Linked DNA regions of Arabidopsis thaliana. The protein of the gene in region 2 interacts with the protein of the main gene of each other region in a pairwise test. Each region holds a gene or a part of one and is shown on either strand. Other genes may lie near its edges. The genes, in order: AT4G12980, AT3G13670, ABCG20 and AT3G55050.

Evidence for each region.
Region 1: the proteins of AT3G13670 (region 2) and AT4G12980 interact in a protein complementation assay, tested with the Arabidopsis thaliana proteins (one large-scale study listed by BioGRID).
Region 3: the proteins of AT3G13670 (region 2) and ABCG20 interact in a protein complementation assay, tested with the Arabidopsis thaliana proteins (one large-scale study listed by BioGRID).
Region 4: the proteins of AT3G13670 (region 2) and AT3G55050 interact in a protein complementation assay, tested with the Arabidopsis thaliana proteins (one large-scale study listed by BioGRID).

Annotation. Positions count from the first base shown.
Region 1 is NC_003075.7:7,588,672-7,593,384, reverse strand, and holds AT4G12980 (Auxin-responsive family protein), read left to right. Parts: upstream 1-2,125; 5' UTR 2,126-2,310; coding exon 2,311-2,967; intron 2,968-3,043; coding exon 3,044-3,298; intron 3,299-3,442; coding exon 3,443-3,715; 3' UTR 3,716-4,138; downstream 4,139-4,713. UniProt on the Arabidopsis thaliana protein: May act as a catecholamine-responsive trans-membrane electron transporter.
Region 2 is NC_003074.8:4,467,192-4,474,219, reverse strand, and holds AT3G13670 (Protein kinase family protein), read right to left. Parts: upstream 5,068-7,028; 5' UTR 4,787-5,067; coding exon 4,403-4,786; intron 4,298-4,402; coding exon 4,169-4,297; intron 4,060-4,168; coding exon 3,986-4,059; intron 3,869-3,985; coding exon 3,799-3,868; intron 3,710-3,798; coding exon 3,654-3,709; intron 3,430-3,653; coding exon 3,358-3,429; intron 3,208-3,357; coding exon 3,113-3,207; intron 3,041-3,112; coding exon 2,974-3,040; intron 2,886-2,973; coding exon 2,756-2,885; intron 2,669-2,755; coding exon 2,450-2,668; intron 2,354-2,449; coding exon 2,211-2,353; intron 2,056-2,210; coding exon 1,881-2,055; intron 1,794-1,880; coding exon 1,703-1,793; intron 1,659-1,702; exon of another isoform or gene 1,594-1,658; coding exon 1,436-1,593; exon of another isoform or gene 1,333-1,435; coding exon 1,144-1,332; exon of another isoform or gene 1,046-1,143; coding exon 986-1,045; 3' UTR 680-985; downstream 1-679. Other genes in the region: AT3G13672 (TRAF-like superfamily protein), read left to right, coding at 47-679; AT3G13662 (Disease resistance-responsive (dirigent-like protein) family protein), read right to left, coding at 5,750-5,755, 6,615-7,028.
Region 3 is NC_003074.8:19,836,619-19,842,207, reverse strand, and holds ABCG20 (ABC-2 type transporter family protein), read left to right. Parts: upstream 1-2,224; 5' UTR 2,225-2,686; coding exon 2,687-4,906; 3' UTR 4,907-5,060; downstream 5,061-5,589. Other genes in the region: UXS1 (UDP-glucuronic acid decarboxylase 1), read right to left, coding at 1-573.
Region 4 is NC_003074.8:20,399,731-20,404,739, reverse strand, and holds AT3G55050 (Protein phosphatase 2C family protein), read left to right. Parts: upstream 1-2,144; 5' UTR 2,145-2,409; intron 2,410-2,651; 5' UTR 2,652-2,817; coding exon 2,818-3,750; intron 3,751-3,849; coding exon 3,850-4,071; 3' UTR 4,072-4,310; downstream 4,311-5,009. Other genes in the region: AT3G55060 (CAP-gly domain linker), read left to right, coding at 1-823, 936-1,142, 1,249-1,551; GSTL2 (glutathione transferase lambda 2), read left to right, coding at 4,435-4,619, 4,700-4,759, 4,858-4,918, 4,997-5,009. UniProt on the Arabidopsis thaliana protein: May dephosphorylate and repress plasma membrane H(+)-ATPases (PM H(+)-ATPases, e.g. AHA1 and AHA2), thus influencing negatively plant growth and fitness.

The DNA.
Region 1 (4,713 bases), on a different chromosome or scaffold from region 2:
TTTCAGGTCAGGGATATATATCAGACAGTTTTGAATCAATATTTATAAAATTTTAAAATATCATTTAATATGGATTAAATTCTCACTTTATTAATAATTGTTCCGTGGACTCATGGTATACCGTAACTTAATAACAATTATAAAATATTTAAATATACAATTTGGAAACTTTGATATATACTAACTTTAAGAAATAAATTTTCATGCAGTGTACCGCGAGTTAAATTCTACTTTGTTAGATAAAAGATTTAGACAATTTTACATTTTTTTGGAACATTTCTCTACTTTTAACTTTGATGAGAGTCGATTTTTAAATTGCATATATAGACATTTAACTTTCTTGAATAATCCAAAAAAAATAAGCAAAATGCAAAAGCTAAGCAAAACATAAGCATGGAATAGATTTAGTGAAATCTTGTTAAAAATGATGTTTTGAACACACTAATTGTTATTTCAGATATTAACAATAACTTTTGTATGTTGTTTTGGGAATATAGTATGATATCGGATATCTGAGCAGCACAACACAAAATTATGGAAGAAAAGCCATAATAAACGTGTGGCCACCCAAAGCAGAAGGACTCGACGAATTCAGTTTAGGCCAAACTTGGCTGGTATGAAACTTAGATTAAAAAGTAAAGTAATGATGCTTCAATGCATGTGGCTGTCAACAACAAAAGAACTGCAAACACAATAAAATTCGAGTGGGTTTTCCAGAATGCTGATACTTCAGCCCACATGAATCGAAGAAACTGTCTGATATTAGTGAACAGACATGGAACAGTGCAACTAATATATCTCCACGAAGATACAATCAATCCAGATATGTGAGCCAATAAAAAGCCAACCCACGGAGCTATCTGACCACAGAACTGTAGACGTAGTAGGCGCCTAAGACAATGATCATCAGACAGTGGTATCTGGTTCATATGAATAACATCGACGTCAGATGGCAGGTTAGTTTTTAATCAATCAAAACAAATTCTATCTAGAAAATATAACTATTAATTATTTGTTATGTGATTTGTTTATGAATTTATGTTTGGTGCGTTTTAAGTTGAAAATGATCAGATGCTTATTCTCAAAAATTACATAACAAATAATTAATCGATATATTTTGTAAATAATATTTGTTTTGAACATTTTTCAAGTTAAAACGCACTAAACTTCATACGTCTTAATAATTAGGTTGTAAATACATAAATAACGTAAAAAAGTTTAGATGCTTATTCTCAATGAAACCAAAACATAATTGTATACACCAATATATTTTGAACATTATTATAAAAATCAATCCAAAATTGAATTAAATTTATCTATTTAAGGTTTAGTTTTACTCATATGTGTATATAAACCTTTTTTTTTTTTTGAATATAAACCAATTTACTCTAGAGCACACTACCTTAAAAAGTATTAATACCTGAGGGCTGAGGTTTAGAGAATTGAAAGACAAACTAACTATCTTAGAGATTCTAGAGCTCCTGCAGTCCTTACTTGGATATTCTAATTTAAAGAGATATGTTTAAAGCTTTCGACAAAACCTTTTGGGCCTTCCCCTTTTTGCTTATATTAATATATATAGCGGTTCGGTGAAACATCAAAGGAGATAGAAGAGGATAATTTTTAGGGATAGGTGCATGACTAGATGTTGAATTAAGGGAGATAAATTCTGATGTGAACTGAAAAAACTTAGCAACCGTTGATAATGTTAGTTTCTAATAAGTATTTAGTCTTGGGCGATAAATTCTTATTCTAGTCAATACGACAAAACTCTATATACTCACATTTTGGATAATTTTGCAAATAAATGATTTAACCCTATCTAAAAACATGCATCTACACTATGAAGATAAGAATGAAAAAAATAACCAAAATTAAATTTATGCATTATCTTCTTTTCTAAATTACTTGAAAAATGTGTTACTTTAAGAATGTTGTGAATTTAGATTTTATTGTAATAAAAAGAATATATAAATATCTTTATGATTTTCAAGGCCAGAAATACTCTGAGATCCTTGGTCTTAGGTCAAACATAACTGTCAACTACTTAATCTGATATGTTCTGTTCCATGACCTTCCAGAATCAGACAATCAAAAGAAGTTCGTTATGATGTGTTTTTCTGAATTAAAAGAAAGAAAAGAAAAAACAACACATTGAACAATAAAAATGAAACAAATAAATAAAAATCTTTTATTAGCTGTGTGTATCGTAGAATTAGATACAGGCTATAATTATCACACAGTTTCACCTATTTATTTCCGACCATTACTTAACGGTTACTACAATTCTTTGCATCATCATCATTCATCATGGATTCTTCTTACCTTAGAATCTCTCTTTCTTTTCTCTTCTGGGCTTTACTACTCTCACCGGCTGTGTCACAGTCATCTTCTTGTTCGTCACAGACATTTTCCGGCGTCAAATCTTACCCTCACTGTCTCGACCTCCCTGATCTTAAAGCCATTCTCCATTACTCTTATGACGCATCTAACACAACTCTCGCCGTTGTTTTCTCTGCTCCACCGTCAAAACCTGGTGGTTGGATCGCTTGGGCTATTAACCCTAAATCCACCGGCATGGCTGGATCTCAAGCCCTCGTTGCCTCTAAGGACCCTAGCACCGGCGTTGCTTCCGTGACGACCCTTAACATCGTCTCTTACAGCTCTCTGGTTCCCTCGAAACTGTCCTTTGACGTGTGGGATGTTAAGGCGGAGGAGGCGGCTAATGACGGTGGAGCTTTACGAATCTTTGCGAAAGTGAAGGTTCCGGCGGATTTAGCGGCGAGTGGGAAGGTTAACCAGGTTTGGCAGGTTGGTCCGGGAGTGTCTAATGGGAGGATACAGGCTCATGATTTCAGCGGTCCCAATCTTAACTCAGTGGGATCACTCGATTTAACCGGGACCACCCCCGGAGTCCCTGTCTCCGGAGGTGGTGGTGCCGGTAATTCTAGAATCCACAAGAGAAATGTAAGTATGATTTTTATATTTGTTATTGTTTATGAAAGTCATGAAGAATCAACCATTTGAATGTGTAAATTGGCAGATCCATGGAATATTGAACGCAGTGAGTTGGGGACTTCTATTTCCCATTGGAGCAATGATAGCTAGGTATATGAGAATCTTTGAATCAGCAGATCCTGCTTGGTTTTACCTCCACGTGTCATGCCAATTCTCTGCTTATGTCATCGGTGTTGCCGGATGGGCCACCGGACTCAAGCTTGGTTCAGAATCTAAAGGTATTCAGTACAACACTCACCGGAACATCGGCATCTGTCTCTTCTCTATAGCCACTCTTCAGGTAAATTAAACCGTTGCTAATACTCATTAGGACCAAAGAGTGTTATTTGTTATATTAGTGGATATTGCAAGTTGGCCATTTAAAAAGATATGTTTTGTTCTGTTATTGAAACGATGCTTTGTGTCTTTTTGCGCGTGTTTAAAGATGTTTGCGATGCTGTTGCGGCCAAGGAAGGACCACAAGTTTAGATTCGTTTGGAATATTTACCACCACGGAGTTGGATACTCTATCCTCATCCTTGGAATCATCAATGTTTTCAAAGGTCTTAGCATCTTGAATCCAAAGCATACTTACAAGACGGCTTATATCGCTGTGATTGGGACCTTAGGAGGCATCACGTTACTCTTGGAAGTTGTTACTTGGGTCATTGTCCTCAAGAGAAAATCTGCCAAGTCTACAAAGCCTCTCAAGGCCTAATGGTGTTGGTAATTCAAAGGATTTGTATTGTTTTATTTTCTTTTTTTTTTGAAGTTAGAAATTGCATTGTCTTTCTCCACAAATTATGATTCATCTCTTGACGTTGCTTGTTTTGAGGATGATGATTATGACTTGTGTGTTTTATGTATAGTAGGAGAAACACATATATGTCTTAGTGTTTGTTCTTTGTAGCTCTGCCTTTTATTTCGTGTGTTTTTGTGGTTCAGAATACTTGTAGGGAATTATAAACTAATTTTTCAATCTTTTTTTGTCGTAAATTTGTAATTACCCAAGTACGAACTACGAAGTGACCAACAAACAGTAAAATTAAAATATGTCCGTGTGGTGTAAGATGTAAAACACTTGTAAGATTCTTATTTTGGGCATTCTGAATGATGATAGCGTTTAAAACTTTAATGTGTCCAGCTACTACCGAATCAACTATAATTACGTTGCCTTTTTTACGTTTATTCTTTTCTATATGAAATTCAAATTCTAGTGGAAATCTCTTTCCAAACTTTTTCAACGTTGTTTCCACTTTTCTTTCCTAAAAGGTTGTTTACATTGTCTATCCGGGATTTGACTCATATATTATACACCGAAATTTGGGGCCACGGTCAAACAAATTGAGCAGTTTTCGGGGTGTATTAAATCAAGGTTTTATGAAAGTGTTGGTTTTCTGTTAACATCATCAGTTATTCAATTAGTGATTTTAAAATTCCTTTCCAAATTCTATGTTATTGAAACTGAAATTTATATAAAGTCATTCCAAATTATTTATGAAGGTACATCCAAACACATATATGTTTGAATGGTTAGTTGTGGCTAAGAGTTTTCTTGGAATTCAGTCGTCTAACTCTAAATCCTCATATAGAAAAGATTTGCTTCCTAAACAATAATGGTGAAAAAATCACTGACTATGTATTGGTTAGCTACCCGGACGTGTCTTACTACAAAAATGTAACCTCTGTTGAAAGTGGGGTCCCTCCGGTAAGAAA
Region 2 (7,028 bases):
CTACTACAATAAGAACACAACAAGTAATATACAGATCCTATTGCAGTGTCCCAACGACCACATCGAAAACCCTAAGAAGAAACCGTACAATTGTCCACACTCAGGAGCCAAGTGTGATGTCACAGGAGATATTCAAAGGCTACTACTGCATCTAAGGAATGATCACAATGTTGAAATGAGTGATGGGCGTAGTTTCAGTCACAGATATGTTCATCATGATCCTAAACATCTTCATCATGCTACTTGGATGTTAACAGTAAGTTATATAACTGATTATCTTGCTCTGTTTCTGCAACTTTGTGAATTTTTAAGTTTTAACCCACTTGAAACGATGCAGCTTCTCGATTGTTGTGGTCGAAAATTCTGCTTGTACTTCGAAGCGTTTCACCTGAGGAAAACACCAATGTACATGGCCTTCATGCAGTTTATGGGAGATGAAGAAGAGGCAATGAGCTTCAGCTATAGTTTGCAGGTCGGAGGGAATGGCAGAAAGCTGACATGGCAAGGCGTGCCGAGGAGCATTCGTGACAGTCACAAGACGGTTCGTGATAGTCAAGATGGCTTAATCATCACTCGCAAATTGGCTTTGTTCTTCTCTACCGACAACAACACCACCGACAAGGAGCTGAAGTTGAAGGTTTCAGGTCGTGTATGGAGAGAACAGCCTGTTTCGATATGAATTCGATAATTAGGTTACAGAATTGGACAACTATAGAATATTTGGTGACAAAAATATCTTTTCTTGATTTAAAAATTAAATATAGCAATTTCGAGGGAAATGTGTAGGTAAACTGGTGATTATGGCTCAATCCCCTTCACAAGGGGGGAATAAACAACACAATCACCACATTTTTGCTTCACAATTCAACTGAAAAAAAAGAAGAAGCACAACAGAGCCTGAGAGGCCATAGGGTTGGATAAGGAATAGGAGCCGAGACTTAGAAACATATTTCTCTCGTCCTTCAACAGTTTTTACTAATAAGTCTCAAGATACAGTTCGGCCATAGCTTAACGATGCAAGGTAGAGATTCTTTCCCCATTTTTCCTGCACAACAGAAAATTGCATCTCCGGTATTGTTCATGGGAAGGGAGAAAAAGAGTTCAAGATATTGATTAGTAATCTTTTATAGCTGCTCTACTCACCTTGACGTGTGTGCTGGGGAATTGAGAGGTACGTAACGTCTCTTGTGTCTCATCAACAAGTCTACGACGTGGGATGCTTAGGATGAGAGCAGCTTGATCGGTTGTGGCTGCTGTTGATGTGATTCTGAATCCACCATCCCAACGCCTGTGGATGCCTTCACTTGGATACAGAAAATCAAGTTCCACAACCTGTAGAGGAGATATAAGCGAAAACAGGAGAATTAGAAATCAACGCGACAGATCCAAAACTGAAGGAAACGGAAGAAATTCATCTATATCGGTGAAGTCTAACCTGTTCACTGTAGCCAGAATTGCGGGACATAACAACACCCCATCGATTTCCAGCTGTTGCCATTGAGGTTACATGGAAGCCTTCTCTCCATTTCTTGTTTATCCACTTGAACGGGAATGAATCGCTTACTTTGTAAGACTGCTGTGTATACTGCGTACCTTCATAATTCATTTGAAAACCAAACATAGAATAAGCCACAAATTCAGAGACTAGTAAAATACCATAATGACGAAAGTGTTCAAAAGTATTCATGAAAAGTGTAGATACCTTTTGACATGACAACTAAGGAGCTTCCATTGCTTGCACCAGCAATAGAACTAATGTAGTAGTTCTTCTCCCACTGCTCCATAATCCATTCCTGATTCAAAACAGAATTCACTCTCAGGTAAGATCATCTTGACAGAACACAGATATAAAAATAACTAACAGAGAAACATCAGACAACCTTGTGCAAGAATACAGGAGAGAGTTCATAGACTTGGTGCGTGAAGCCAGTTCCAGCATCCATTATCAATGCCCAGAGATTCGAACATGATGATACACAGCTTATCAACAAACCATCTGCAATACCTCTCTCAATATGCTGTGCCAGTCTTATATCAGCCACATTATAATGATACCTGGTTAAACACATAAATTGTGAGTCCAAAAATAGTTTTAGACACATTAAGGCCAAAAATCCAAGATTATAATATAACCAAGAGAAAAAATGAGACACAAACGCAGTCCCAGCAGTTAACTGACTGTATAAATAATTAACCATGAATTTTTTTACCTCTGCTTCATTGGTTGCCTGGCATTGTAAATCGATATCCATTGCGTTGCAGGGACTCCTAGACGGACCTTTTTCCTAGGGGCATCTTCTTCTTCCTCCCCAATGCTCAACCTACCTCGCTTCTGGCCAACTTGGAATATGATCTAGCACAAAAGAAAACAATTACAAGATGTTAAACAACAACTCCTAGATATCCAAATAGGAACGAAAGGGAAAGATATACAGCATGAAAATGTCACCTTTTGAGCACCCTCTGTGTTTATAGGCCTAATTGCCGGATTTTCGCCCAAGAGGTCTTGAAACAGAGATACTAACTTTCCATAGTTGGGTTCTTCATCAAATTTCATATTTACCACGATCTCAAGAAATTGTTTGAAAGGAGGGGGACAAAAACAACAAAGCATATCCGGCGATGTTGCCATCTTCTTTTTGCAAACAAGGAATGACTTGTTATCTCCCTGAAAATTGAGTAAGAGACAGGATTAGCAGAGAAAGAATCATGCAACAACATGATTCTACAAAACAAAATGATAGGTCTGCAGTACCTGATATCCTTGCCATGGCAATCTACCTCGGTGAAGAAAGATCAGTGTATATGCTAATGATTCCAGATCATCCCTTCTGCTAGCAGTTCTCCCTAAATGAGCATGTGCACTTGCGTATCTAACTGTCCCTCTATAAAAATTAAGAAGAGAGAGATTCAACAAAAGGTAAGAGCGAGTATAAAACAAATTATATTAGGTAACAGTAGAAAATATATTACCTAAACATATCAGGACGTTGATCATATTCAACATGTTGTCCGCTACCACCTTCTCTCCACTTTGTAGCTGAAAAGTTGGTTGAAAAATGAGAAAGGTAAAGAAGAACCTAGCAAGAATAACAAAGAGAATGAAATCAACCTAGTCCCAAATCAACAAGAAACAGTTTTTTCTCTTGAGACGTTGAAGGCTGGCCGAGTAAGAAATTTTCTGGCTTAACATCCCCATGCACATAACTGAAACCGAAGTAAAACATGACCTGTTAGGCTAGTTAATAGAGAGAAAACATAAGAACTTAGAGGTGCCGAGACTCCAAACAGGATATCAGAAGAAACCTCGGACAACCTAATTAAATACAAAAACAAAAATAAAGTTCAATTACAAACCCTTTTGCATGCATCTTTTCAAGGATGGAAAGTGATTCAACCGCAATGCAAGCTACCATTTCCGAGGACATTCTGCAAAGCAAAAAGGGGGAGAAGAATTGTTAGGGAAGTCGATTTTTTAAAAGCAAAATGTTACTCAGTATGGACTTATGTATTTTTTTAAAAACAGGGAGTAACACCACATTTCAAGTCACAATTCCAAAAGAATCCAAATTAACTTAGGATACTCATGTATGGAAACAACGCTAATTGAAAAAGAGACAAGAGCTCCCCAAGGATGTGTAATGGAGACTCACGCTTGCCCTGAAGTATTCCATAAATCCCATAAGCTAGGCCCAAGCATGTCCATAACCTGAGGCCAAAACAAAGAAGAGAGGATCTAACTTCAATGATACAGACAGGAGAAAAAAACAGAAATAGGAGAAAGGGGGAATCCAGTACCATGACATAATAGTCTCCTTGCCTGCCTTTGAAATGTACTCTAGGGACTCCATGGCTACCACCCAAGGTGCTGTTCACAATAAAAGTAAAATGTCAATTTCACATTTCAAGTCAAGGAAGCACCTACAATCCAGGTAAATGAATTTAAGAAACATTGAAAGAAAGACAGGAGAATCGAAACACCCACTTGTAAACCTGCCACTCATGTGGAGGACCATAGTTGCAACCCTTGCTGCTCCTATGCTCAAACTTTAGAGCAACCTATATAAGAAAGTGAAGATGTGAGACACTGTAAGCATAACTAAGCTAATAGAATGATATTTATGGTGACAATCCTCCACAGCAGTAAACGCAGACTGAGTTATATTACCTCCAAGATGCTAGCTCCTGCACTACGATCATTACCGCCACTAATACGACGTCCGACAAATACTTGTCCAAAACCACCCTTCCCCAGCTTTCTCTCAACTTTATATAGTGGTGATCCTCCAACTTGAACCTGATACGGAATCGTTAGTCATTACCATAGAAAGATGATAAGCAAGCCTACAATGAAAAGTTCAATAACCCCAAACAACACAAAAACTATGCAAATCAATTATACCCTCTCAGGGAAAGGAGCAGTATTTCCTTCTTCTTCCTGAGCAGCCGCCTTGTTAGAGCCACCACTATCATTACCAATAGCCATATCTTTCTTCTCTTCTTCAACGACTACCTCTTTACCCTTGTTTTTATCGATATCGCTATCCTTAGACGGCACAACAACCGGAATCTCCTGAGGTATCTCTTTATCTTCCTCCTTTAATTTCCTCGCCGCTAATCTAGTCCTCGGCCTCTCTGCAACTCCTGTAACTCCGCCGGCAACCGGTTTTGGAGCTTTAACGGTACTCTTCTTCGGTTTCTTTTCTGTAGGTGTTTGCGGAAGCTGATTGGGAGCTACAGCATCAGTAACACGGCCACGGCGGACTCCACGGCGAAGCTCCGGCATAGCTCAAACCCCATGCAATCGAGACGGGACACGAAGAGTCCGATCATTATAGTCCTCCGAAAACGAGGGCCTGGGTCATGTCGGATTTGGTAAGCTATTTGATATATAATCGGAGATTCGATTTGCCGATGATGAAGATGGCGATTTAGGGTTACGACGGTTCAAGTTTGCGATGAGAAAAATAGAAGTTTATGGATGAAAGTTCCCAAAATGGAGAGAGAAAAGAAGACAGGCGATGTGAAAAAGGCGATATTTATGCCACGTCAGATATTCTGAAGAGGAAGAACCAAAAAAATTTGGAAAAATCAAATTAATTTTCCTTATGACAAAAATTATGTAATAATGATGTGAATGGACTTTTTTTGCGTCACACGGTCCGTGACTTGCGACTAATTTGGAAACAAACGTTTCACGTTTTTGTTAAGAAATAAAAAATTTGATTTCTTTTCTTACAATGGTTTTATATGTTTACTATTTTGAATGTCTTTTCTATTTCAAACAAAAAAGTAGCTAAATGTATTATTTAATTTCTCCGTGTAATATCAAAATTGGTTTTAGACAATAAATAGGTTTGATTTGGTGTTTTTTTTTTAAGGTTTGATTAGCTCGTGATTGGGCTAACTAATCATTATATTTATTTGAACATTTATTTTCTATCAAAATTTCAAATAATTTATTCGCTAATCAGTTGATGATTTTCCAAATTAACGCGGAGTAGAGCCTTTGTGCCACTTAATTTGACCAAAAAATGTATGTTTAATGTATATATAAACAACTACTTATTTATTTATTTTTTAGATGAATAAAATCAAACCATTACAAGATAAAATACATTATTTAACTTGGGAAAAGACAATAACACTCTCATAACAAAACGAGACATAAAAACAAATAAGTAATGAAATCAAATGAACAATATTCCAAACTTAATTATTTCAGTAATGCAGAATATAACAATTATATTCAACACTAGATTCACCGCGGAGACAATTCATTTTTTAAAATTAATATATGTAAAAATTTGTAAATTATTTTATAGTTTACAATTGTTACTAAGTAACATCCTGTCAAACTCGTCCCGCCAAACCCGTCCACAAAAAAAATTTATTTATTTTATTAATGTTGATCTTATTTATAATATATTTATGAATCATTGTCAAAATATTTTATTCGTTGCGGGACGTTGAATCCATACATTTTTCGCCAATTAGTTAATATATGTTCATTCTTAAAATTTTGAATCACAAAATATGACGATTTTTTTTTTGAGATTTTTTAAACTCTATATATTATATAATGATGTTAATTTTTTTGATATATTAAACTTTTTATAAATTTAAATATTAATAGTGTTTTATGAATTTTAAATATATAAATAATAATAATTAAAAAATTAATATTTTTTGCCTTTTAGGTAATGATATAATAATTCTAAAAGCAAGAATTTAGAAGATTTAAATCTTTAATTAAATATTTTCATGCCTGAATAATTAATGTCAGTAGCATGACATTGTAAATAAGTTCAAATACATGATTTGTTTATTTAAACAAAAAACGTTTAGTAAGAACAATATTTATTTAAACAAAAAACTTTGTTTTAAAATATTGTTAACAAAATACTTTTATGCTAATTTTAAAGGATTGATGTGCAGTTTGTTTGGATTAAATTTGATTGATAATGTGATTGACAATTTAAATTAAGAATTTAATGTAAAATTAATTATTTTGAAAAAAAAATTTAATGCTAATGGCATTGGGTTGTAAATAAGTTCAACTCTAAGATTTATTTGTTAAAATGGCTGCAAAAATGTATATGTAGATTGGCAACACCGGCCTTGAGATCAAACGACTTGGTGCGAGCCTCGACATAACCTCTAGCAAATCGAAAGATTCCACTACCTCCGACCACCGGCATTTCCCTAACCTTCGACATCACCACGTTCCGCCCAAGAATCGTTATCGTACTCCCATTGTACTTCCCCGTAGTGAAAGCAAAGTTCATCACCATCAAGAAGCCTATCTCTCCTTGGGCCGCTGCTACGTACATCCCTTGGGCTTGGCCCACCACAGTCGCATTCCTTGGCACATCGAATGTTAGTGGATCGTCCATCATGGTGATCGATCCGGATAAGGAAGAGTTCAAGACCGGCTGTTGGATCATCACGGAGCTAGGGTTTCTACCGTTTACAGAGTTGTGCCAATAGACTCGGAGATGAGTGAGTTTCTCCTTTTTGTAAGGGCC
Region 3 (5,589 bases), about 15 Mb from region 2:
AGCTAAATGGTAAATCTGATCGACCTCAAGGAGGATTGGCTCAACAACATCGTGTCGAATTAGCTCAAACCTAGGATTCGAGAATAGATGAACCAAATTCTCCTTCCTACCAGTGAAGAAGTTATCAATCACGATCACTTCATCTCCCCTACCGATAAGCTTATCAACAAGATGACTACCGACGAAACCAGCTCCACCGGTGACAACAATCCTCAGTCTCTTCCGTCCGATACCGACGGGAACACGACCGGTTCTACCTCCGCCGCCTCCGGAATTAAAAGTCGACCTGGAAGGCGGGGAATCGGTGACGGCGTAGGAAACAGATCTGGTGATTAACGAGGTGGACTCAGCGGCGCCTAAACGAGAGAGAGAAGGCTGGAGGATGAAGAAAGTGGATCCGATCAAGATCCCGACGAGGATAAAGAGGAGTCGTTGTTCACGAAAGAGATAGTGAAGCGATCTGGGAAGAGATCTGGGATGCTTTAAAGTTTTGGGAGAGTAAGGACTGGATTGGCTCATGGGAATGGTTTCTTCATCACGCTTCGAGCTCATTTGCTTGTGAAGCTGCTTCATCGTTCTCCGATTAAAGCTCGTCGCCGGTGAAAATGAGATCTCAGAATTGCCGGGAAGAAGAAGAGCTTTGGATCTGGATAGATTCAAACGTAAGAGCGATGGTGAATGCAAAAGTAGTTAGTTACACGGCGATTACTTGATGCAATCCTTCGCTCTCTTTTTTATTTTTATTTTGTTTTAGTTATAGAGCAAATATATATGTTTCGCTTCTAAAATCTATATGTGATTATCAGATAATCTAATTAAGTAATTTCACTAATTGTTTAATAATATATGCAATTTTTTATATATATATTCTTGAGGGGATCATTAATGTGATTTGCGTTTGATTTGTATATTATTCAATGAACATATACAAAACTTTAGGCAAATGTGGAAACAAACAAAAAAAACTCCTCGAGGCTTACAAAATATGGGCTTTTAACAATTGGATGCCCAAGTTTGGCCCCTTAATAGCCCACAAAATGTTATGCCTAGAGATATGCTCTTATGCTATTTTTTTTTTTTTTGAATGAAAACTCTCTCATGCTGTTACTCAACAGACGAGAGTAAAAATTTCTCGTACGATTTAACAAATATTAGCATTGAACGAAATCTCAAACCTGAGGGATTCAATTCCTTGATCTAGTCCTACCTGATAAATCTCAAAGTGTTAACAAAATTATGTTGGGAAACTTAGCAAAATATCCTCTACCAAACACAAAATTTCAAAACAATCTTTACATAAAGAAAGTCTTACTAAACTTAACCAGAATAATATAAACTCATTCTCTGTGTGAAAGTGTACATTCCATAAGAAATGTTATGTATTTCATTGGATAAATCATTAGTTCAACTTGATAGAGACAAGCTGATGATACTAAGTATATAGTTTTCTATTATTTCTTGACAACTCTTGTAAAAATGGGTTATCAAAAGTAAAATAATCAAGAAAACAGATATAACAGCTACACCAAACTTCCATATGCCTAAATCTAACTCATCACGTTATATAAAGTTTCCATTACATATTCCTAATGACAATTTTTGTTGTGTTTTCGTGTGTAGCTCTACAACATCAAAGCCGAACATCTGCACGTTTTTCTGCCATAATTTTCACATTCATTTCCTTTTTGTTTCACCAACTACAAAAGTACAAATCAATGATCCTTATAATTTTTTTTTTTTTTTTTTGAAATGAAATAGGCTTCACTTACGCTTTTTTATATGACGAAAATGGTGTGCATGATTAAACAAACAATTGAAAGATAACACGCCATTAGCTTCATTATGCATAATGGCATGCCTTTGTACAATCTTAGTATAGTACCATGCCAAATCCTAATTATGAGAATATCTTATGTGTTTGATATTAACTAATTGCAAAAGTTAATTAGTAACCGCTAAATAAATGTTCAAAATGTTGGATGATTTGATTTTGATACAACAAACAGTATATTCGTAGCGTGCTTTAGTTACTGTACGAAGATATTCACTGATTCAAAATAGTTGGAAATCCAATTAACCCCTAGTCAATTATTGTCTCACGCACCAAAAAACAAGTCTTAGAGCTTGTAAGTGATTATAGAAAACTCGCGGGTCGTGACTATAATAAACAAAAGGAGATTAAGAAATTCGTGACATACATACATGTGCAAGGAGAAATTCTATTCCTGACATGTTACATAAGCTATACTTATTGCAATTCCATAAACTCCGGATACATTATATACAGATGAAATAAACACGTAATTCCATGGAGTAAACTTTTCCACTTTGTAAACAAAAACCACCTAAAATAGGATTTTTTTACAGAGTACCTTAAGCCCCAAGAAAAAATACATACAATAACGGAAAAATGTGGATGGATTTGCCCAACTCCTCACCTACTCGTAACTTACAATTTATATACATACGAAAATATAAACAAAAGCTATGTACATGTAAATATGAAAAGCTACAAAACCCAGAACAACTCAAAGTTAGATACTTAGAGATCACCAAACTAATTGACAAGTTTCTCCCTCATTCTCCCATCCAAATATCCTATAAAGTCGATCAAAATTGTTCTGTGGGTAAGACCTTTAGACACATTACCTGAGGCCAAAACATTAACCAGACAATAATTCACGTGATGTCTGGTTTGTTCGGTATATTATCTCCGGCCAAACGGGTCAATGGCGATGGCCTCCCTCTGTTTTACAATATCCACAAGTCAGTGGAGCTTCAGAGATGTCACAGAGACACTGCGCGGGTGTCTGTCACACTTGCAGAACTTCTCATGAGTGTGGAAGATGAGGGGGATGACCAGAGTCGGGCTATGGATATTGCGGTTGCGTCCAATTTCTGGTCCTCGGTTCCGTCTTCTCGTGTGCCTTCTTCTTCTCCGTTTGTTCTTTCCTTCAAAGACTTGACTTACAGCGTGAAGATCAAGAAGAAGTTTAAGCCCTTTCCTTGTTGTGGGAATTCACCTTTTGATGGTAATGATATGGAGATGAATACTAAGGTGCTCCTGAATGGTATTTCTGGTGAAGCCCGGGAAGGAGAGATGATGGCTGTTCTTGGAGCGAGCGGGTCAGGGAAATCAACGCTTATCGATGCATTAGCCAATCGGATTTCAAAAGAGAGCCTACGCGGTGATATTACTTTAAATGGGGAAGTTCTTGAATCTAGCCTGCATAAAGTCATATCAGCTTATGTGATGCAAGATGATCTTCTCTTCCCGATGCTCACCGTGGAAGAGACGTTGATGTTTTCTGCTGAGTTCAGGCTTCCAAGCTCGCTTTCTAAGAAGAAAAAGAAGGCACGGGTTCAAGCTCTGATTGATCAGCTCGGCCTGAGGAACGCAGCAAAAACCGTGATCGGTGATGAGGGACACAGAGGTGTGTCTGGAGGAGAAAGGAGAAGGGTCTCAATTGGAACCGATATAATCCATGACCCGATTATTCTCTTTCTCGATGAGCCAACTTCTGGTCTTGACTCTACCAGTGCATACATGGTTGTCAAAGTGCTTCAGAGAATCGCACAAAGCGGCAGCATAGTTATCATGTCCATCCATCAGCCGAGTTACAGAATCTTGGGATTACTCGATAAGTTAATCTTCCTATCTAGGGGAAACACCGTTTACAGCGGCTCCCCGACACACCTCCCTCAGTTCTTCTCAGAATTCGGTCACCCAATTCCTGAAAACGAGAACAAGCCGGAGTTTGCACTCGATCTTATCCGTGAGCTGGAAGATTCGCCAGAAGGAACGAAATCCTTAGTCGAGTTCCACAAGCAATGGCGAGCAAAGCAAACCTCAAGCCAGAGCAGAAGAAACACCAATGTATCTCTCAAAGATGCAATCAGCGCAAGTATCTCGAGAGGTAAGCTTGTCTCCGGAGCAACAAACCTAAGATCATCATTTCAAACCTTTGCAAACCCATTCTGGACTGAAATGCTCGTAATTGGTAAACGATCTATACTAAACTCAAGAAGACAACCAGAGCTATTCGGAATCCGCCTAGGAGCTGTACTAGTCACCGGAATGATCCTAGCCACAATATTCTGGAAACTAGACAATTCACCAAGAGGTATACAAGAACGCTTAGGGTTCTTCGCATTCGCAATGTCCACAACATTCTACACATGTGCAGAAGCAATACCAGTCTTTCTACAGGAACGTTACATATTCATGAGAGAAACAGCTTACAACGCTTACCGGCGATCATCATACGTCCTCGCTCACACAATAATCTCCATCCCTGCTCTCATAATCTTATCCGCCGCATTCGCCGCCTCAACATTCTCGGCCGTAGGACTCGCCGGAGGCTCCGAGGGATTCCTCTTCTTCTTCTTCACAATCCTCACCGCGTTTTGGGCCGGAAGTTCCTTCGTGACGTTCTTATCCGGCGTAGTCTCACACGTGATGATCGGATTCACGGTGGTTGTAGCAATCCTCGCTTATTTCCTCCTCTTCTCCGGATTCTTCATCTCTAGAGATCGAATCCCACTCTACTGGATCTGGTTCCATTACCTCTCCCTAGTGAAATACCCTTACGAAGGTGTTCTACAGAACGAATTCGAAGATCCGACGAAATGCTTCGTCAGAGGGATCCAGATGTTCGACAATTCGCCGCTGGGACAAGTTCCAACCGCCGTGAAAATCAGCCTCCTGAAGAGCATGAGCGGCGTTTTGGGGATCAACGTGACGGCGGAGACTTGCGTAACGACGGGAATCGATATACTGAAACAGCAAGGAATCACGGAGATAAGCAAATGGAATTGCTTGTGGATCACTGTAGCTTGGGGATTCTTCTTTAGGGTTCTCTTCTACTTCACACTCTTGATCGGAAGCAAGAACAAGCGTCGCTGATTTACAAAACAGAAAATTATTAGAGTAACTTGACCAATGATTATGATGTACTTAATACTTATGATTAATACGAAATTGCATATGTTTGCTAAATCTTTAATGGGCTTTAGAGTTGATATAAGGCCCAATAAAAGTACTAAATTGGAAAGTGTGCAATTTTCTATTTTCTATATCGGTAATATCGACGTTTATCTCGCCGTGAAATCTAAACCGTTGATTGAAACAAATCGCTACCGTTGAATCTCGTCGGTTTCCAAGTTATAAGATAGGGGTTGAAGACTAATCGCAGTATCATCCGCGGTTCACTTCCTTCGTTTCGAAATTATTAGGGTTACTGCGTATTTGCACTCTCCTTCTTCGTCTCTCCAGGTACGAGGAAGAATCTTTGTAATTGGATCTGTTTAGGGTTACGATTTTATTGTTCTTCGCTCTCTAGATTAGGGATTTCAATTGGTTTCTCGTTTCCTCGCCGTAGATTTCCTTTATAGGTTTCCTTCTGTCTAATCTGATTAGAGATTTATATTCTCCCCTCACGAAATTTTCTTCTTTTCGCCTCTGAATGTGTTATTCAGTTTGGTTTCTTTGTTTTTGGATTTGTGTTCTGCTGAAAAATCATAGATATTCACATGGGTTCTATGTTTAGGTCTGAGGTAGTGTTTTAACTCTCTGGTCTTTTTCTTGTT
Region 4 (5,009 bases), about 16 Mb from region 2:
TGAGACAGAGAACAAAGACATGATAACACATTTGGAGAGAAGAGTTGCTGAGCTGACCACAACAGCAGATAAATTGCATGAAGAGAACAATTATGTTAAACAAACTCTCTCCAAGTTACAAGAGAGTTACGCAGGTGCTACAGAAGATCTTGATTTCTTGAGAAGAAACTTTGAAGAGAAGGATCAAGAATGCAGGGAGTTGCACAAATCTGTTACAAAGTTTTTCAGAACTTGCAAAGAACAAGGGAAGACAATTGAGGGACTTCGAGATGGTGTTTCTGAGGAGGTTAAGAAGCAACCGTCAGAGAAATTAGACCAGTTGGTCAAGAAATTGCAGGTCGAGCAGGTAAGGTTGACAGGGATCGAGCTTTCACTTAGAAGGGAAGTAGAATCAATGAAGCTTGAAACTGACTCTCTTCGCCATGAAAATATCTGTCTACTGAATCGATTGAAAGGGAATGGTCAAGAAATAGACATTACAACCCTTAAGCTAGAGAATGAGTTGAAGATGCGTGTCTGCTACTTGCAAGAACAGGGACTGTCAATGTTAAATGAGAGCAGCCAGCTGTGTTACAAGTTACTGAAGTTCATCAAAGGGAAATTAACTCAGCTTCCTGAAACCTATCAGGATAAGAATTCAGTGAAGGACGGATTAAGTGAGCAGTTTATGATTGAGTCTGAAATGAAAGTCCATGGGATAAGGCGCGGAACTGAAAACCTGAAGAGGAGTTTGCAAACGGTGACCAGTGTGGTAGCTTCGAATTCAGAATCGTCTTCCTCAAATACTGGTAGGCCTAGGGAACAAAGAAACCAATCAGTTGAAGTAAGTCCACGGATATGTCCATTTCTTAATATCTCTATTGTATTTTCTTGTATGTCCTGTTTTGCTTTACACTAATATGTGGCTAATGTATACCTGGCCCAATCTCATGTAGGAAAACTTGCGAGCAGAACTGAGTGCTGAGACCCTAATCACAAGTTTAGTGCGGGAGAAACTGTATTCCAAGGAAAAGGAAATCGAACAGCTCCAAGCAGAACTAGCAGCAGCAGTACGAGGTAATGAGATTCTGAGATGTGAGGTCCAAAGCAGTTTAGACAACCTATCAGTTACAACCCACGAACTGAAAGACCTCAAGCATCAGGTATTGCAAAACAAGAATAACACATATCCCATGTCTGTTTTTGTATATAAAGAAACTATTCCCATTTATAAAATGTTAACTTTACGCTAATCTTTTTTGACATCAGATGTTGAAGAAGGAGGAAAGCATAAGACGGCTCGAAAGCAATCTCCAGGAAGCGGCGAAAGAAATGGCGAGGCTGAACGCACTATTGTCAAAAGTGTCTAATGAAAGAGGCCAGATATGGAGTGAGTATAAACAATACGGTGAGAAAAACATGCTTTTGAACTCAGAGAACGAGACATTGAAAGGAATGGTAGAGAAATTGGAGGAGAAGGTATTAGAGAAAGAAGGAGAGATCACAATACTACAAGACACAATCGGAAGCAAGCATCTGAATCTCCTCTCAAGTCCTGATTTCTTGGTATAAGGGTTTTTCTTTATCATTGTTTCTTAGACGATGGGTCATTCTTTGGGGCTTATAGATATGATTGTTTCTTCTTTTATTTTTACTTTTCTTCTTTTGGATTGCTTATCTCAAAGCTGGATTCTCTCTAGTTTCAGATTTGTACTTAAAAATGGGCTTATAAACTTAGTGGTGAAGTTTATGGTAAAGAAAGTTTGTCATTTGACTCAATTCTATTCAATAAATCTTCATAAGCCATTAGTTCAAAAAGAGACTAGCAATAATTTTATATATATACTATCTTACATAAATATATATATATATATATATATAGACTTGGTATTTTTACTTTTTTCACTAAATATATGATCACTTTTCACTATAGTTAGTCATTCTTTTTCTCAATAAGTTTGACAAAGCTAGTCTTATATTATTTTTTTTCCTACACTTGTAGTAACAAATTGGTACCATATTTTAGAGAATATTTCATAAAAATAGTAGAGGTATTAAATGTTGCAAAAAAAAAGTCAAACCGTTAAAGTCAAAAAGAAATGGAGAGACGACAGGTAGAGAAAATAAAATACTATAAATTTACCAGAAAAAAAAAAACACCATAAACACGATGACCGCGACTATCGGTACTTTCTCTCTCTAAAAAAAACAAATCCAACGTCTCCGTCTCTTCTTCAAACGCGTCTTCTTCTCTATTTTAACCCTCTTTCATCGTCTCTTTCGCTTTTTATAGGTTTTGATTTGTATTAGTAATCATCTTGCTAATCTTTCCCCCTCATTGATCTGAAATCGAATGATGGATTATTATTCTACTCCAAGCTTTTGAAATAAGGAACCCTATTTCTTTCATCTAATCCTCGATTTCATCAGGTATTTCAAATCAATTACCCAATCAGGTTGATGGGTCAAAGTTGAAACCTTTAGATTCATATGTGGATGGAGTTATGTAAAGTTTTCTTCTTAATCAAAATTTGTTTCTCCCAGATGCTTGTTATCAGATTGATGGGTTAAAAGTTAAAAAATTTAGTTTCCTATGTTGAAAATTTGGAGACTTTATCCTTTTTTCGATTCTAGATTACTAAATGTTTTGTTTTTGTTTGTGTGGAATGCAGATTAATGTTGTTTACATTTGTGAATGCGTGTTTGAATTCTGAATCCTGGGTTTGTGGAGTTGGAATTGAGTCTGACAAGAAGATTGGGTTTCTTCATAATATAGTTATAAGCACTGATTTGATGAACGATTTGATAGCTGGTTCTTTTGGTTGAGACATGTGAATTATGGTATCTACAACATTTAGGAGAATTGTATCGCCTTGTTGGAGACCTTTTGGTATTGGAGAAGATTCTAGTCCTGGTAGTGATGATACGAATGGCCGTCTCGATGGTCTCTTGTGGTACAAAGATTCTGGGAACCACATCACTGGAGAGTTTTCTATGGCAGTCGTTCAAGCTAACAACCTTCTTGAAGATCATAGCCAGTTAGAATCTGGTCCTATTAGTTTGCATGAGTCTGGACCTGAGGCAACTTTTGTTGGTGTTTATGATGGTCATGGAGGTCCCGAGGCTGCTCGGTTTGTAAACGATAGGCTCTTTTATAACATCAAGAGGTACACATCAGAACAGCGAGGGATGTCGCCTGATGTTATCACCAGAGGGTTTGTAGCAACAGAGGAGGAGTTTCTCGGTTTAGTGCAGGAGCAATGGAAGACCAAGCCACAGATTGCTTCTGTGGGAGCTTGTTGTTTGGTTGGTATTGTTTGTAATGGATTGTTGTATGTTGCAAACGCAGGAGATTCTCGGGTTGTGTTAGGGAAAGTCGCAAATCCGTTTAAAGAGTTGAAAGCTGTTCAGTTATCAACAGAGCATAATGCAAGTATCGAATCTGTGAGAGAGGAGTTACGTTTGTTGCATCCTGATGATCCGAATATCGTGGTCTTGAAACACAAAGTTTGGCGTGTTAAAGGGATTATACAGGTCTCAAGATCCATTGGTGACGCATACCTTAAAAGAGCGGAGTTTAATCAAGAACCGCTACTACCTAAGTTTAGGGTTCCAGAACGTTTTGAAAAGCCGATCATGAGAGCGGAACCGACTATAACAGTTCATAAGATTCATCCGGAAGATCAGTTTCTTATATTTGCCTCGGATGGTTTATGGGAGCATCTAAGCAACCAGGAAGCTGTTGATATTGTCAATTCTTGTCCACGCAATGTAAGACATATCACAACACTCTTCTTGTCTTGTTTTTTTGTCTGGTTTGAATTGGTTTTGTTGTTTGTTGAATTTGTGGTGTCTTGTTGATTCTTTCAGGGTGTGGCTCGGAAGTTAGTGAAAGCTGCATTACAAGAAGCAGCAAAGAAGAGAGAGATGAGGTATTCTGATTTGGAGAAGATAGAACGTGGCATTCGGCGACACTTTCACGACGATATTACCGTTATTGTTGTCTTCCTCCACGCTACAAACTTCGCTACTCGAACTCCGATCTCTGTCAAAGGAGGTGGTCTCCTCTCAGCCCATAATCCCGTTTTATAGATCATTTTTTTTCTCCTTATTTGAACCAGAATTTGATTTTGTTTGCTTCTTTTGTTACAAAATTGTGTGAAAATCTTACTTCTTTAATTATTTTCTGATCGAAAAGTGTAAATTTCCTCTCTTTTTTCCTCAAATCTCAATTGTACTTTCTGTTTACGAAATAGTGAAACAGAATCGAACCAACATTCATCAATCTGAATTTGAACCGAATTTTACTCTTATACCGAATTTAAACCGAAATAGAATCTTATTCTATCCGAATTGAACCAAACCGGAAGTTGTGGCAGTCAAACAAAAAGGTTCAGTGGAAACCATTTTCCCGGAAAATCCTTTCAGGAGCTGAGAAAGTGAAAGCTGTGAGGTATGAGTGTGGGACTGAAAGTTAGCGCGTTCTTACATCCAACGCTTGCGTTATCCTCGAGAGATGTCTCTCTCTCTTCCTCATCATCTTCTCTCTATCTTGATCGGAAAATTCTCCGACCAGGCTCCGGGAGACGGTGGTGTAAATCCCGAAGAACCGAACCAATATTGGCTGTTGTAGAGTCAAGGTAATCAATCAAATATGTTTTTCCTTCTATGAAGAGTGATTACAAGTTTAGTTGTGTATTGAAAGGTTACTATTTTGCAGTCGAGTACCGGAGCTTGATTCTTCTTCAGAACCAGTTCAAGTATTCGATGGATCAACAAGGTTTCGGTTTTCTAAAAATGCTTTTTTTATTTGTTTCATGTCTGGATAGATATTAGAGAAGTTGTTGATGAACAACTTTTGGTTTGTGTGATTTTAAGGTTGTACATATCTTACACTTGCCCATTTGCTCAGCGTGCGTGGATTGCTCGCAACTACAAGGTTTCAAATTTGAATCATTCTTCTTATCGATGTTTCTATATATCTATATCAATTTCTTTATGTTGCTTGTTTGTGTAGGGTCTGCAAAACA